3 linked regions of the Mus musculus genome follow. The protein of the gene in region 1 interacts with the protein of each later gene in a biochemical or structural test. Links are inferred from orthologs where the notes say so. Each region holds a gene or a part of one and is shown in the gene's direction. Other genes may lie near its edges.

The links.
Region 2: of the proteins of Amfr (region 1) and Herpud1, one has a biochemical effect on the other in vitro, tested with the Homo sapiens proteins (6 studies listed by BioGRID and IntAct, with this or other methods). The link is inferred for Mus musculus from reciprocal best matches to the Homo sapiens genes AMFR and HERPUD1.
Region 3: of the proteins of Amfr (region 1) and Cyp3a13, one has a biochemical effect on the other in vitro, tested with the Homo sapiens proteins (4 studies listed by BioGRID). The link is inferred for Mus musculus from reciprocal best matches to the Homo sapiens genes AMFR and CYP3A4.

Annotation. Positions count from the first base shown.
Region 1 is NC_000074.6:93,974,614-93,978,259, reverse strand, and holds part of Amfr (E3 ubiquitin-protein ligase AMFR), read left to right. Parts: intron 1-2,091; coding exon 2,092-2,226; intron 2,227-3,440; coding exon 3,441-3,524; intron 3,525-3,646. UniProt on the Homo sapiens protein: E3 ubiquitin-protein ligase that mediates the polyubiquitination of lysine and cysteine residues on target proteins, such as CD3D, CYP3A4, CFTR, INSIG1, SOAT2/ACAT2 and APOB for proteasomal degradation.
Region 2 is NC_000074.6:94,385,056-94,389,345, forward strand, and holds the start of Herpud1 (homocysteine-responsive endoplasmic reticulum-resident ubiquitin-like domain member 1 protein), read left to right. Parts: upstream 1-1,373; 5' UTR 1,374-1,536; coding exon 1,537-1,683; intron 1,684-4,290. UniProt on the Homo sapiens protein: Component of the endoplasmic reticulum quality control (ERQC) system also called ER-associated degradation (ERAD) involved in ubiquitin-dependent degradation of misfolded endoplasmic reticulum proteins.
Region 3 is NC_000071.6:137,918,703-137,922,851, reverse strand, and holds the start of Cyp3a13 (cytochrome P450 3A13), read left to right. Parts: upstream 1-1,232; 5' UTR 1,233-1,339; coding exon 1,340-1,410; intron 1,411-3,759; coding exon 3,760-3,853; intron 3,854-4,149.

The DNA of each region.
Region 1 (3,646 bases):
AGGGGTTGGTTTAAAATCTTAGGTAGGCCCTATCAGCTCTTTAGTCTACTTCAGATGATTCAAATAACTAATTTTTAGCACAACGAATTTACTGGAACTATGCATTTTTAATTAAAATCTAGTATTTAACTGACTGGATTTTCTGGTAGAAAGATTTATGATAGAAAGTTCAATAAAATGGATCCAGCTTTGTTTCCCTTTTTCTTTTCCTCAATTGGTGGAGAGCTAGGTGAGGAGGGGAGAATGCTTGTAGAGACTCTTCCCACTTTGCTTTGATTTGATTGGGATAAAATGTTCCTTCCAGTCCACATGCTGTGAGGGGGTCTCCAGTGATGCGGAGCCTTGGGCCCTCTGGGCACTGAACATCTTGCCATTGTCTCTCCCAAGTGACTCAGCAAAGCTCTGGACAGTTTTCACCTGAGCTGCTCTTTCAGTTGCAGTGCTGAGACACAAGCCATCACGTGCAGTTTGTGATGCTGTGCTCCTTTGAAACTGACATCCAGGCTGGGCAGTGGTGGCACACACCTTTAGTCCCAGCACTTGGGAGGCAGAGGCAGGCGGATTTCTGAGTTCCAGGCCAGCCTGGTCTACAGAGTGAGTTCCAGGACAGCCAGGGATATACAGAGAAACCCTGTCTCGAAAAACCAAAAAAAAAAAAAAAAAAAGAAAAGAAAAAAGCAAAACAAACAAAAAAAGAAAAAAGGAAACTGACATTCAGTCGTACTCCAAGGCAGTGGTCTTTCCTGCTTCTTCCTCTCTCTTTTCTCTCTTGCTCTGTAAATTATGGAGATTTTTCTACAATACAAACCTAGAATGCAAGCATTTATAAAATATATTTATATGTATAAAACACATGCATGTGTTCACACACACAAGTTTTGAGGTGCTTGAATGGAAGTATGGATGAATTTGAAGTATGGATGGAAATTTATGTATTTGTCCTGTACACACATGGCTAAACCTCTAAGTGTGTGCAGTGATGGATCTAGAGCATTGTTTGAAAATTGTAGTTCTGAGGCAGTACTAGATATTTTCATAATCCTAGTATGTACCCAGGTTGGTATTGAACTTATAGATCCTCCTGCCTCTGCCTCTGGGTGCTAGAGTGAGAGTGGCATGTCACCATGCCTGGCTAAAAATTGACTTTTATAAATTAAAAAGATGGGCTGGAGAGATGGCTCAGTGTTAAGACCACTGACTGCTCTTCCAAAGGTCCCGAGTTCAATTCCCAGCAACCACAAGGTGGCTCACAACCATCTATAATAGGATCTGATGCCCTCTTCTGGTCTGTCTGAAAATAGCTACAGTGTACTCATACACAAAATAAATAAATCTTAAAAAAAAAAGTTTATAAATTAAAAAATATATTTTACGTTTTGCATATAGAAACTTACATTCTTTAATTCTATTTTTTAAAGTTGCGCTTATTATTTGTATGCAGTAAAAATGTGCTTTGGTTAATCTCAAGTTTAGCTCACACAGCTGTGTAGACTTAATCTAACAAGAGTCAGAGTGGCTCTGCTGCTCCTCTCTGTGGGTCCAAGGTTCTTTTGAGGTCAGTTTCTCCCCAGCCAGGGCCTCCTGCCTGCTAGACAAGCTCCTGAGCAGAACGCCCAGCCCCACATTGCTCTGCTTTCCCTCTCCCTGTGCCTGTTTCCAGATGTCATCTAATGGAGTCCCAGTCTGGCTCTCCCTTGGCATAGTGGATATGAATACTACACATGCTGTGTCTGAACATCGAACTTTAGAAGGATCCTGTTAGCTTAGGATACACGTAGGTAGATACTGGCACACATAAAGTCATCAAATAGATCTTTAAAGCCAGAAGATACTCTGACTTGACCCTTTCTTGAGATACTACTAGATTTCTGTCTGCTCTTTACTTTGAAATTGCTGGTATCCCAGAAGTCTAGTACCCTACAACAATAAAAAGAAAGCAGTGTGCAGGTGATCTGCTGAGCCAAAATGGCCTTTACCTGTGCTTTCAAGATAATGATGTCAGCCTCTGTGTCCAGGGCCTGCCAAGTGTGCGTACTGACCCTCAAATCTGCTGAGAGTGACCTTTGCTGTGTGTCCTTCATGTTTCTCTAGGCTCATCAGATTCAGGAGATGTTCCCTCAGGTCCCGTACCACCTTGTGCTCCAGGACCTCCAGATGACACGCTCCGTGGAGATAACAACAGATAACATCTTAGAAGGACGGATTCAAGTACCTTTCCCCACGCAGGTAAAACTGGAGCTTTATGCCTAACAAATGTATTTTATTTTTACAAAGAATTAGTCCTAACACCTAAATATTATTTATAATTTGAGGAAGGGTTTATATGAATTTCATTTCATTCAAATCTTTCATGAGAACAGATTAACCAAAGGTAAATACAGATAATCCAAGTACATTTTATGCAGAAACATACCCCAAATCAGCTTTCCCTCACTGCAGGTCTGTACCGGGACGCCATTGGCTCCTGTCAGAGGCTGGCATCTATTTTTGTGAAGAGCAAAGAGTGACTATTTAGGCTCTGCTTGGTCCACAGTCTGCTGCAAATAAAGTGGCCATTGGCAGTGAGGATGTGGATGAGCAAGACTGTGGTCCAGTAAAACATTCTTTGTAGAAGTAGAGAGGGGCGAACATGGGGCTATGGTTTATGGAGCACTGGCACTCCAAGAGAAGGCTGGTTGTACATCATGTGGTGTGTTAGTGACAGTTCACATCTCTCAGGGAGCTGAGGCTTGGACTTTGGACTTCATTAAAAAGGTCAGAGTTTGTGCCTCATCACTCGGCCTCTGAGAGAGGCACAGAAAAAGCAAGAGAGGAGCCTTCAGTAATACTGAGGAATGTAATATAAGGCCAGACAGTCATCTACCAAAAGTTCCTGTGTACAGCCTATAAGTGAACAGAAATATATCAATACAATTCAAAAAGATGAAGCTCTTTTGACGAGTGTAGCCTTTGGAGACAGCTGGGCTAAGGTGCTAGCTATATGGTCCCTTGGGTCTCAGCTCTCTGACCTGATTGTTAGCTGCCTTTGGAGCTGGCAGAGTTGCCTCATATGGCTGGATAGGGCTGTCAGTGAAACACATAAACCAGACAGCAGACATGAAGGTACTCAGACCTTAAGCGATAAAGCCTGTGGGGAGGACCCAGAACATCTCTAGTCTGGAGACTTAATTGCAATGCCTGCTTCAGAGCACTTTAGGAAGGTTATGAAAACCGGGAACAGTGTTTACTCCGCGCAGTTGACCTTTGCCCTTGCTTTTGTTGTGCAATCACTATTATTGAACAGGAAGCTGAATATGGAGCAGTTACTAACTACTCTCAAACATGGAACTCCATGAGGGCCTCCACATCCTTCGTCTCACCTTTCAGGCTGTGAGCTGTGTCGAAAACTGTCACCTGCCCCTTTGTCACCCCACCCTGAATGACTGCATGCTTTCTTTCAGCGGTCGGATAGCCTGAGGCCTGCACTGAACAGCCCAGTGGAGAGGCCCAGCCCTGACCTGGAGGAGGGAGAAGCTTCTGTCCAGGTGAGGTCAGCTTACCAGGAGCTGTGCTGCAGGAGTGCAGCGTGGTCCTGCGTTACTTACGGCCACCTTGCCCTTGGCAGCAACAGCTTAAGGGAAGAGCTGTGTATTCTGGTTAATAGTTG
Region 2 (4,290 bases), about 410 kb from region 1:
AGGAAAGCAGCTGAGGTTCTGCGGCGTGTCCCTGGTGGACCACTGGCAAATGCCGCTGCGGTGAGGTGCAGGGTGTCCTCCAGAGAGACGCTGACGTCTCAGCCCCAGAATGTGATGGCATTTAGAAATATCTTTGTGAAAGATAATCGTTAAGATGAGGTCTTTAGCCACGACAATGCGAATGATACCCTTATAAAGGGGGCAGGGGAGAGACTGGACAGAGATACGCATAAAGATGATGCAGATACACTCACACCCGTGTATGTGCACGCACACAGGTGCACACCCGGAGAATGCCATGTGATCGGAAAGCTCGAGATTGGAAAAATACTCCCCAAAGCTAAGAAGTCCCAAGGACAGTTAGCAAACCTGCAGAACTTAGGAGAGTGGTACAGATTCTGCCCCCAAAGAAAGCAATGCTGCCCTAACCCCTGGTCGCAGACTTCCAGCCTCTACAGCTTCAAAATAAACTTCTGTTGCTCGAGCCTCCAGTTTACGACACTTTCTTATGGTTGTGTGACAAACTCACATAACCATCTCCCGAACAGGACTCTCCTATCACCTCTCTGACCTCTGTAAGCTCTGGACATGGCTGAAAACCCAGGTATCCCAACAGGATTGGGACAAAGATGGGCCGGAGCAATGCCAGTTTTGTTTTTCAAACTCAGAGGAAACACTGGAGCACTGCCTCTGGTCAGATTTCAGGTATCTGAGACCACTGCTGTGCTTGTCGCAACCCCAATTTAAAAGCAGCAGATGTTGTTAGTTCATAAATGATGACCCTTTCCAGTGTCTCCTAGAGGGTTTGTCAATCAAGAGGCACTTAGTGCCATTACTATAAGGGGTATGTTCCACACTTGATGCATCGTTAAATTTGCTGCAGGCACATTGGAAAGTGCCCGAATCCTTCATCCTCTCAGCTCAGAGCAACACAGGCCTGGTTTCTCTTCGCTTCTAAGGCCTGGTTAGTTCGTAAGGCTTCCCTGGATGCCAGGCTGCGCAGCCACCAGGGAAAATGCAAGCGGACAGACGTATGCCCAGGCGCCTGGGGTCAGAAAGGGCGGAGGGCCGCTTTGTGAGGGCACAATTTGCAGAGCCTGCTGATCTTGGGAGTCAGGCAGGCCGCCAGGCTCAGGCACCGCACGCATCCCGCGCTAAGGAGCCTGAACAGGACCAGCGCCCCAGAGGGCACCCTGACATGGCCGCCGAAGACCCGCTCCCGCGCCGCTGTCGGGACTCAGGATGACGCAACCACGGCGGGTTGCATCAGCCCGCACCCCCGCGCTTAGCCCGCCTCTCCGCCGCCTTTCTCCGGGCGCTGATTGGGCCACGTTGGACACTGACCTCTGTCTCAGCCAATGGATGGCAGCCACAGAGAGCGCTATCTGCGGAGCCCTGGCACGGGGCGCCCATAAAAGGTACCCGAGACGGGGGCGCGTGTCCCAAAGACGCCAAGTGTCGTTGTGTGGTCTCAGACGGCTGCGTCGCCGCCCGTTCGGCATCCCTGAGCGCAGTCGAGCCGCCAGCGACGCAGACATGGAGCCCGAGCCACAGCCCGAGCCGGTCACGCTGCTGGTGAAGAGTCCCAATCAGCGCCACCGCGACTTGGAGCTGAGTGGCGACCGCAGTTGGAGTGTGAGTCGCCTCAAGGCCCACCTGAGCCGAGTCTACCCCGAGCGCCCGGTGAGTGGGACCCCGGGGTGCCACGCCTGCAGGGTTGCCTGAACTCACCTGTCACACACCACAGGGCGCGAGTCTCCTTCCTGCCCAACCGTCTCCTGTGCCCCTCTGCTCGCCCTAGCGCTTGTCATCTCTTCTGGGCCTCCACCAGTCCGCGCTTGCCCTCTTCTAGCCCCTCATCTCTTCACCTCCCATTACACCTAACTCCCAAGGCTGTCACACATCTGCCCCACGTCCCTGTACCCTCTCCTCATCCTCCCAGGGAAACAGTAATTTGACCTTAATGAGTCATTTCCCCATCCGAGTCCCAGTGACCCTCCACAAACTACTAGGTGACTGACTGGGTGTTCCCAGTTCGGCTTGCATCTGATGGGTAGAAATAAGAAAAGTAAATGTTGCCAAACGAGACTTCTGGGTGTACCGAGGACAGACAGTATATGTGCCAGATTGGGCCATTGGCTAGAGGGTGGGGTGCGTGCCCAGTCACCAACTTCTGAAGGTCCCACGCCCATAGGCTAGACATGGCTCTTCTCCTGCAGCCTTCCGTTGACCGCCCCTCCCTGTCGCGCCGCACTTAGTCTCGGGGAGGAGCCCCCTTAACTTTCTAGCGAAGGATGACTGAGAAAGGAAGCCAGCAGCTGGAGTAGCCCTGAGTCTGATTTGACGACAACCGTGGGTCAGTTAGGAGACTTTCTTGTTCCGTGGGGTTCCCCACCCCTCCCCCTCCCCCTTTGGTTGACACATCTGTCAACAGCTCCCTAGCCCCGCCCACCCCTCCGGTCCCTGCCACGTGACGGAGGCTGTGCGCTGGACCTTCCTGTATTTACTTTGTTCTCTGATGTTATGTAAGTGTCCACGAGTACAGTTCTGGATCCGACAGGAGAGGGCAATCGGGTGGCTGCAGATGGGGACTTTGAACAGTGGCCTTAGAGCTCCAACCGGCAGTGGCGCGTGGGTTTCAGTTTGTTTTTGTTCCGAGTTGTCGGGAAAGTAAACAAGGCTTTTCCTTTTAGAATTGGCGAGGAACTTTATCACTTTGGGTGTAAGCGTCTAAGCCCCTGGAACTGGTCGGGGCAGTGTGTAGGATCTCCGTGGTTGTTTTCAAGAAACCAGGTGTTCTTGTTGGGAGGTGGCAGTTAGGTGCATAAATGATGCTCCTGTCGGGTCAGGTTGCATCATTTGTAAAAGCTGTTTTGAGGCCTGTTTTCCTCAGGTGAGGAACATTGGGCCCCTTGGATTTGAAGACCTAAGCTGGTAAATACCAGTAGGTCTCCTGGGTGTACAAATCTGTACCTTACAAAAATACCGGGAATGGACGCAGTGGTGCGCTTCTGTAATATGTCACTGGAGAGGCCAAAGCAGGAGGAGCATGTCTTGCAGACTGGGCTATACATAGTGTGAGTCTCTCAGTAATTAAAGAAGAAGGCATGTTCATGGTTTTTTTTTTTTTTTTTTTTTTCTGTAGTAGTACTTATCATTGGGTGATGATAAAAGTTTATAATAGTTATTTGCTTAACATTTTATTTTCAAATTGGCCTTCCAGGTGAGGACAGAGGGTCAGTTTGGTTTTTACCATTTGCTGGTGGTTGGCTTCACATTTAGAACAGCATTTTGCAAATTGGTGTGCACAGCATTTGTCAGTAAAGCAGTCCAAACAACATGGAACACAGCATCCAATATGTGTTTTAGGTGTAGTGTCAAAAGTCCTAATGGATGTTGATAAGAAGATGAAGGCTTCCTAATAGTCTGAGGCTGGCCATAAACTCTTGTTCTTTCTGCCTCTACCTCACCATGTGCCAGGCTTGTGGGCATGTGCCACCATGCCTAGGTGGATACAGTTTTCCTGGTCTTTTGGGGAGCAGCGTTTTGAGATAGGGCCTCTCTAGCCAGATTTGCTTGCAGCTCATTCATATCCCGGGATGGCCTCAAACTTCTGCCTCAGTTACCCTTGTGCTGAGAGTCTAGATATGAGCCCAGGTTTTTTTAAAATTTAATTTAATTTTTATTTCAGGCTGTTTGGAAGGAACATCTTAATTCCAAGTTTTGCTTAGTGGGTTATTCTGTTGTGCAGGCTGGTGACCTGTGGGGTGGTAGCCATTATTTGAGGCCATTGCTTTTAAGGACATACTTTTAAAAATATGGCTTAGGAGAAATTTAAAAATTGATTTTAGAGATGAGAATTATATAAAGGCATATGGACTCCGTGTCCTTAAAGTCACTGGTATAGAGGAGAATATATGGGTTGGACTCTTGATTCTAGCAGCAGGTAATATCGGGTGGCATGGAAGAAGACTGACCAAAAGTAAATTGAGTTTTCTCTGGCTTTAGAGTTCATTGCTGCCAAAGCACGAAATACAATTTGTGTTTTTAGTAGCAGAAAGAAGTTTCCCTGTGAATAAGAAGTAAAGTGTGTGGCATAGTTTTTACGAGCTAGGGGGTTATTTGCCTCCCAAATTTATTTGCATATTTGAGATTAAAGTCAAGCACTTCCTAAATAAACGTTTTATATATGAGAATTTTTCTTAAAAAAAAAAAAAAAAAGGTCTTCCCGTGGTGGCGGGGGGAAAAAAACTTGTTCGAATCTAAGCTGATGTGTGCTTTTCTTTCCTT
Region 3 (4,149 bases), on another chromosome or scaffold:
TGATGGGAAGATTTTGATTAGGATCTCATGGTTTGTAATCTATCTGGAGGAAGACATGCATTTAGAAATCCTTCTATTTCTTTCGGATTATCCAGATTTCCTGAGTACAGTTTTTCACAGCAGCCTCATGAACTTCTGGGTTTCTTTGGAGTCAGTTATAATGATACCTTTTCATCTCTAATTTTTAAAATTTGTGTCTTCCCCCTCTTTCTTTTTGTCAGATTACCTAAGGGTTTCTCTCTCTCTCTCTCTCTCTCTCTCTCTCTCTCTCTTTTTTGAAGAATCAGCTTGTTTTGGGTCATTTCATGTGTTTATTTGGGTGGATTTCAAGTTCTTGGCAATTAAAGCAGCTTAGGACAAAAGGACAGAAGGTTGTTTAGCTTTTTTCAAGTTGACACAAACCTAGTCATATCCAGGAAGAGGCAATCACAGTTCAGAAATTGCTTCCACCAGAATGGCCTGTAGGCACCTCTGTGGGGAAATATTTTTGATTAATGATTAATGTGAGAGGGCCCAGACCACAGTGGGTAGTGTCACCTCTAGGCAGGTGCTTCTGGGTTTGATAAGAAAGGAACCTGAAAGGCTGGAGAAAGGCTCAGTGGCTAAGAAAGCATTCTGTCCTCCCAGAGCACTTGAGTTAGTCCCAGGAAAAGAAAAAGAAAAGGAAAGGAAAGGAAAGGAAAGGAAAGGAAAGGAAAGGAAAGGAAAGGAAAAAAAGAAAGAAGGCTGAGCAAGCCATAAGGAGAAAGAAGGAAGCATTAGTTAGCTGTGGGCTCTGCTTCAGTTGCTGTCTTCAGATATGTACCTTGACTTTCTGTCCTAACTTTCCTTCATGATGGACTCTAAGTTGTAATACAAAATGAACCTTTTCCCCAAGTTGTTTTTGGTCATTCTGGTTTCTCTCTCTCTCTCTCTCTCTCTCTCTCTCTCTCCCACAATGACAGAAAGCGAACTAGGACAGAAATGCTATAGAATGCCAATGATTTCACCTGAGTTTCTGATAAGAAGCAATAACCTTTGTACTCAGTGATAATGATAACACTGGCCTCAGTTTTGGTCGATATTTCTTACCAAATGAATTCAAAGATTCAAGTGGGCACACCCATGATTCTTTGCCAACTGCTAGGGTGGAGAGTACACTTGACTCAGAACTGTAGGTCTGTTCATTGGCTGCAATTTCAGCCCCACCTCTTTCCCTGTACTTAAGTTCTTCAGGGTGGCTTTCCTGAGTCACAAACAGCTGGGCAGGGAAGGGAGCTCAGCAGGCTCAGCCCTGAAAGGTGCAGCACACAAAATTGAGAGTACAACTTGGAGAGAGACTTGTTTAAAGAAAACAGCAATGGACCTGATCCCAAACTTTTCCATGGAAACCTGGATGCTCCTGGCTACCAGCCTGGTCCTTCTCTACTTGTGAGTAAACTGCCCAGGCTCCTCTTCTTAGTGAGCAGGACTTGGGGGATGCAAGTCAGATAATTCTTTCCTTTACTGGCTTGGAAAATCCAAAGAGAATATGAAGGGGACATTGAGTGTGGGCTGTACAAAGAGTTAAGGTATTGCTTTTGGTCCTATGCAAATCCCTCCTATGGGGTAAGTAAGTATACATTCCTCTTCTACTAAACTCCAGTTTTTGTGGATAGGAGGTTTGAGTGACCTCAGTTAGACCTGGGTTATTCTCCAATTGAGTCTCACCTTTTCACCAGATTAACCACCCAGGGCTCAGTAAAGCAGGTTACAAGAAGCTGGTCACTGTGTTTGATGGAAGGCTTCTTCTTCAAGGTCTCAGGATTGTTGGTATTGTGGGGATGGGAAGAGCTTTTGTGTTGTCTTCACCTGTTTTCTCTGATGCAGGAAACGTGGAGTATTGTTATATGTACACATTCTGCTTCATTGTCCCACCTCTAGGACTATTTTAACAATGCCCCTAGTATATTACGTTTGATCATTTTATTTTTGTGAGTGTTTTGCCTGCATATATGCATGCATGTGTACTACATGAGTGCTTGGTGCCCATGGATGTCAGCAAAAGACGGTGTATCCCTTGGAACTGGAGTTACAGATGGCTGTGAGCCACCATGTGGATGCTGGGAATTGAACCCTGGTCCTCTGAAGAGCAAGAAGTGTTCTTAACCACTGAGCTACCTCTCTAGCTCCCATAAATGACGACTCTTCGGAGCAAAGAAGACCTGACTTTGATTCTTTCCCTTCACCATTTCCTGTCAAAGACCCTAGCATAAGTATAAGGAGTTCCTCCTTCCCTGCTATGAAATCTCCTGGCATCCTCAAAGGGCAGGAACTTTGAAACAGTTAGGATGCTAAATATTTTTCTCTAAGTTCCTCTGGTGAGCATCAGCGAAAACACCCATCTCAGGACTACCTTCTAATGAATGGACTCCTGTGTAGTAGTACAAGTGAGGGGAGGAGAAAGGTTATCTTGAGTTCCAAGATTAAAAGCATAGATGACTACCCCGCCCAGCTCATTCTACGGCAGTGGTTCTCAACTTGTGAAGTCTCAGTCCTTTGAGGGTCAATGGACCCTTTCACAAGAGTCACATATCAGGCATCCTGAATATTAGATATTTACATCATGATTCATAACAGTAGCAAAATTACAGTTATGAAATAGCAATGAAATAATTTTATGGTTGTAGATCATAACAACAGGAGGAACTGTATTAAAGAGTTACAACACTAGGAAGGTTGAGAACCACTGCTCTAATCACCCCTGTGTGTGATTGTGTGTATGTGTGTGTGTGTGTGTGTGTGTGTGTGTGTGTGTGTGTAAGTCTGTAGGTAGTAGATGCTCTTCTTTTACACACACACACACACACACACACACCATAGTTGACTTCTGTCACCATTTGACTTGAAGAAAAGGTACACACTCACAATAATGTGAAAATGAAAAATTCAAACTTGGTTTTATTCTTTAAAGTAATAGTAAGTATTTAAGGTATTATGACAACACCTTTTCCATCTGATGATATTTTACTATTAACTGAAATCTTTCATTCCCTTTTATTCATCCCTAGAATTTATTTACGATAATCCCAGGACCTTCTTTCAAAAGGTTAAAGTGGATCTGTTGCTTTCAATATTTGTGACAATTTTACAATAACTTCATCTGTTTATAAGAGTGTCAGAAATGTGAGCATAATGCACAAACAAATACAGTGTATAGATTGCATGTATGCTTTGAAACAAACTTGGTTATTAGGTTGTTAAATTTTTTATCAGTGTTTGATATACCCGTTTGTCAGTCCATGCTAATCCCTTAGTATAGATGAGTAAGGAAGAGGATGGGTCAATGATGAAATAGAATACCTTCAGGTATGAGTTGGCAGGAAGTGGAGAATATTCCTCTTCTCTCAGGAGAGAATTTTCAAATACACTTGTGGGGCATGGATCCCTCTGGAGATCACTAGAAGGACAGATGAATTGCATCCAATCAGTTTCCTAAATAAAAGCAAGTGAAAGAAACAGCAAATAAGAATTCACATGGACACCCAAACTCAAGCTACAGGCGCTTATTAATGATTAACTTTAGGATTTAGAGCACAAATGTTTTACTTGCCTTTTAAGATAACCTTTGTGGTCTTTGGGGGCCCCACAGAGAATTCAAGAGAAGTGAAGACCAAAAATAGTCATTGCTGTTGGCTACATGTTGCCTCCTTTGTTTGAACTCTATGGTGCCTGTATCCATGACTGGTGAGCCACGACAAAATGCAATCCCATGTACTAGCTTTCTTTTTTGCTTCATAGATATGGAACTCATTCACATGGAATTTTTAAAAAGTTGGGAATTCCTGGGCCAAAACCTCTGCCTTTCTTGGGGACGATTCTTGCTTACCAGAAGGTGAGTGAGTGTTCCTTGAGCCCCCTACCTTGCTTCTTGTGGTTACCAAGACTGGCTTAGTTCCATTAATTCCCTTGAGTAGAAACTGAGGTAGAATTTCAGAAACCATTATTTGGCTTCGACGTGAAGCAAGATAAGTTTCCCCAAGGCTTTGCTGTTGGTCTTTGGAGAATCCTGTTTGGCACAGATGCTCAGCTCTCTGACGTGTCAACACTCATGTTGAGGACTTGATGTTTAGATTTGTGATCCTTTAAAGGCAATATCCTTCTATTCCACTCTTCCAATTTTCCCTCCTG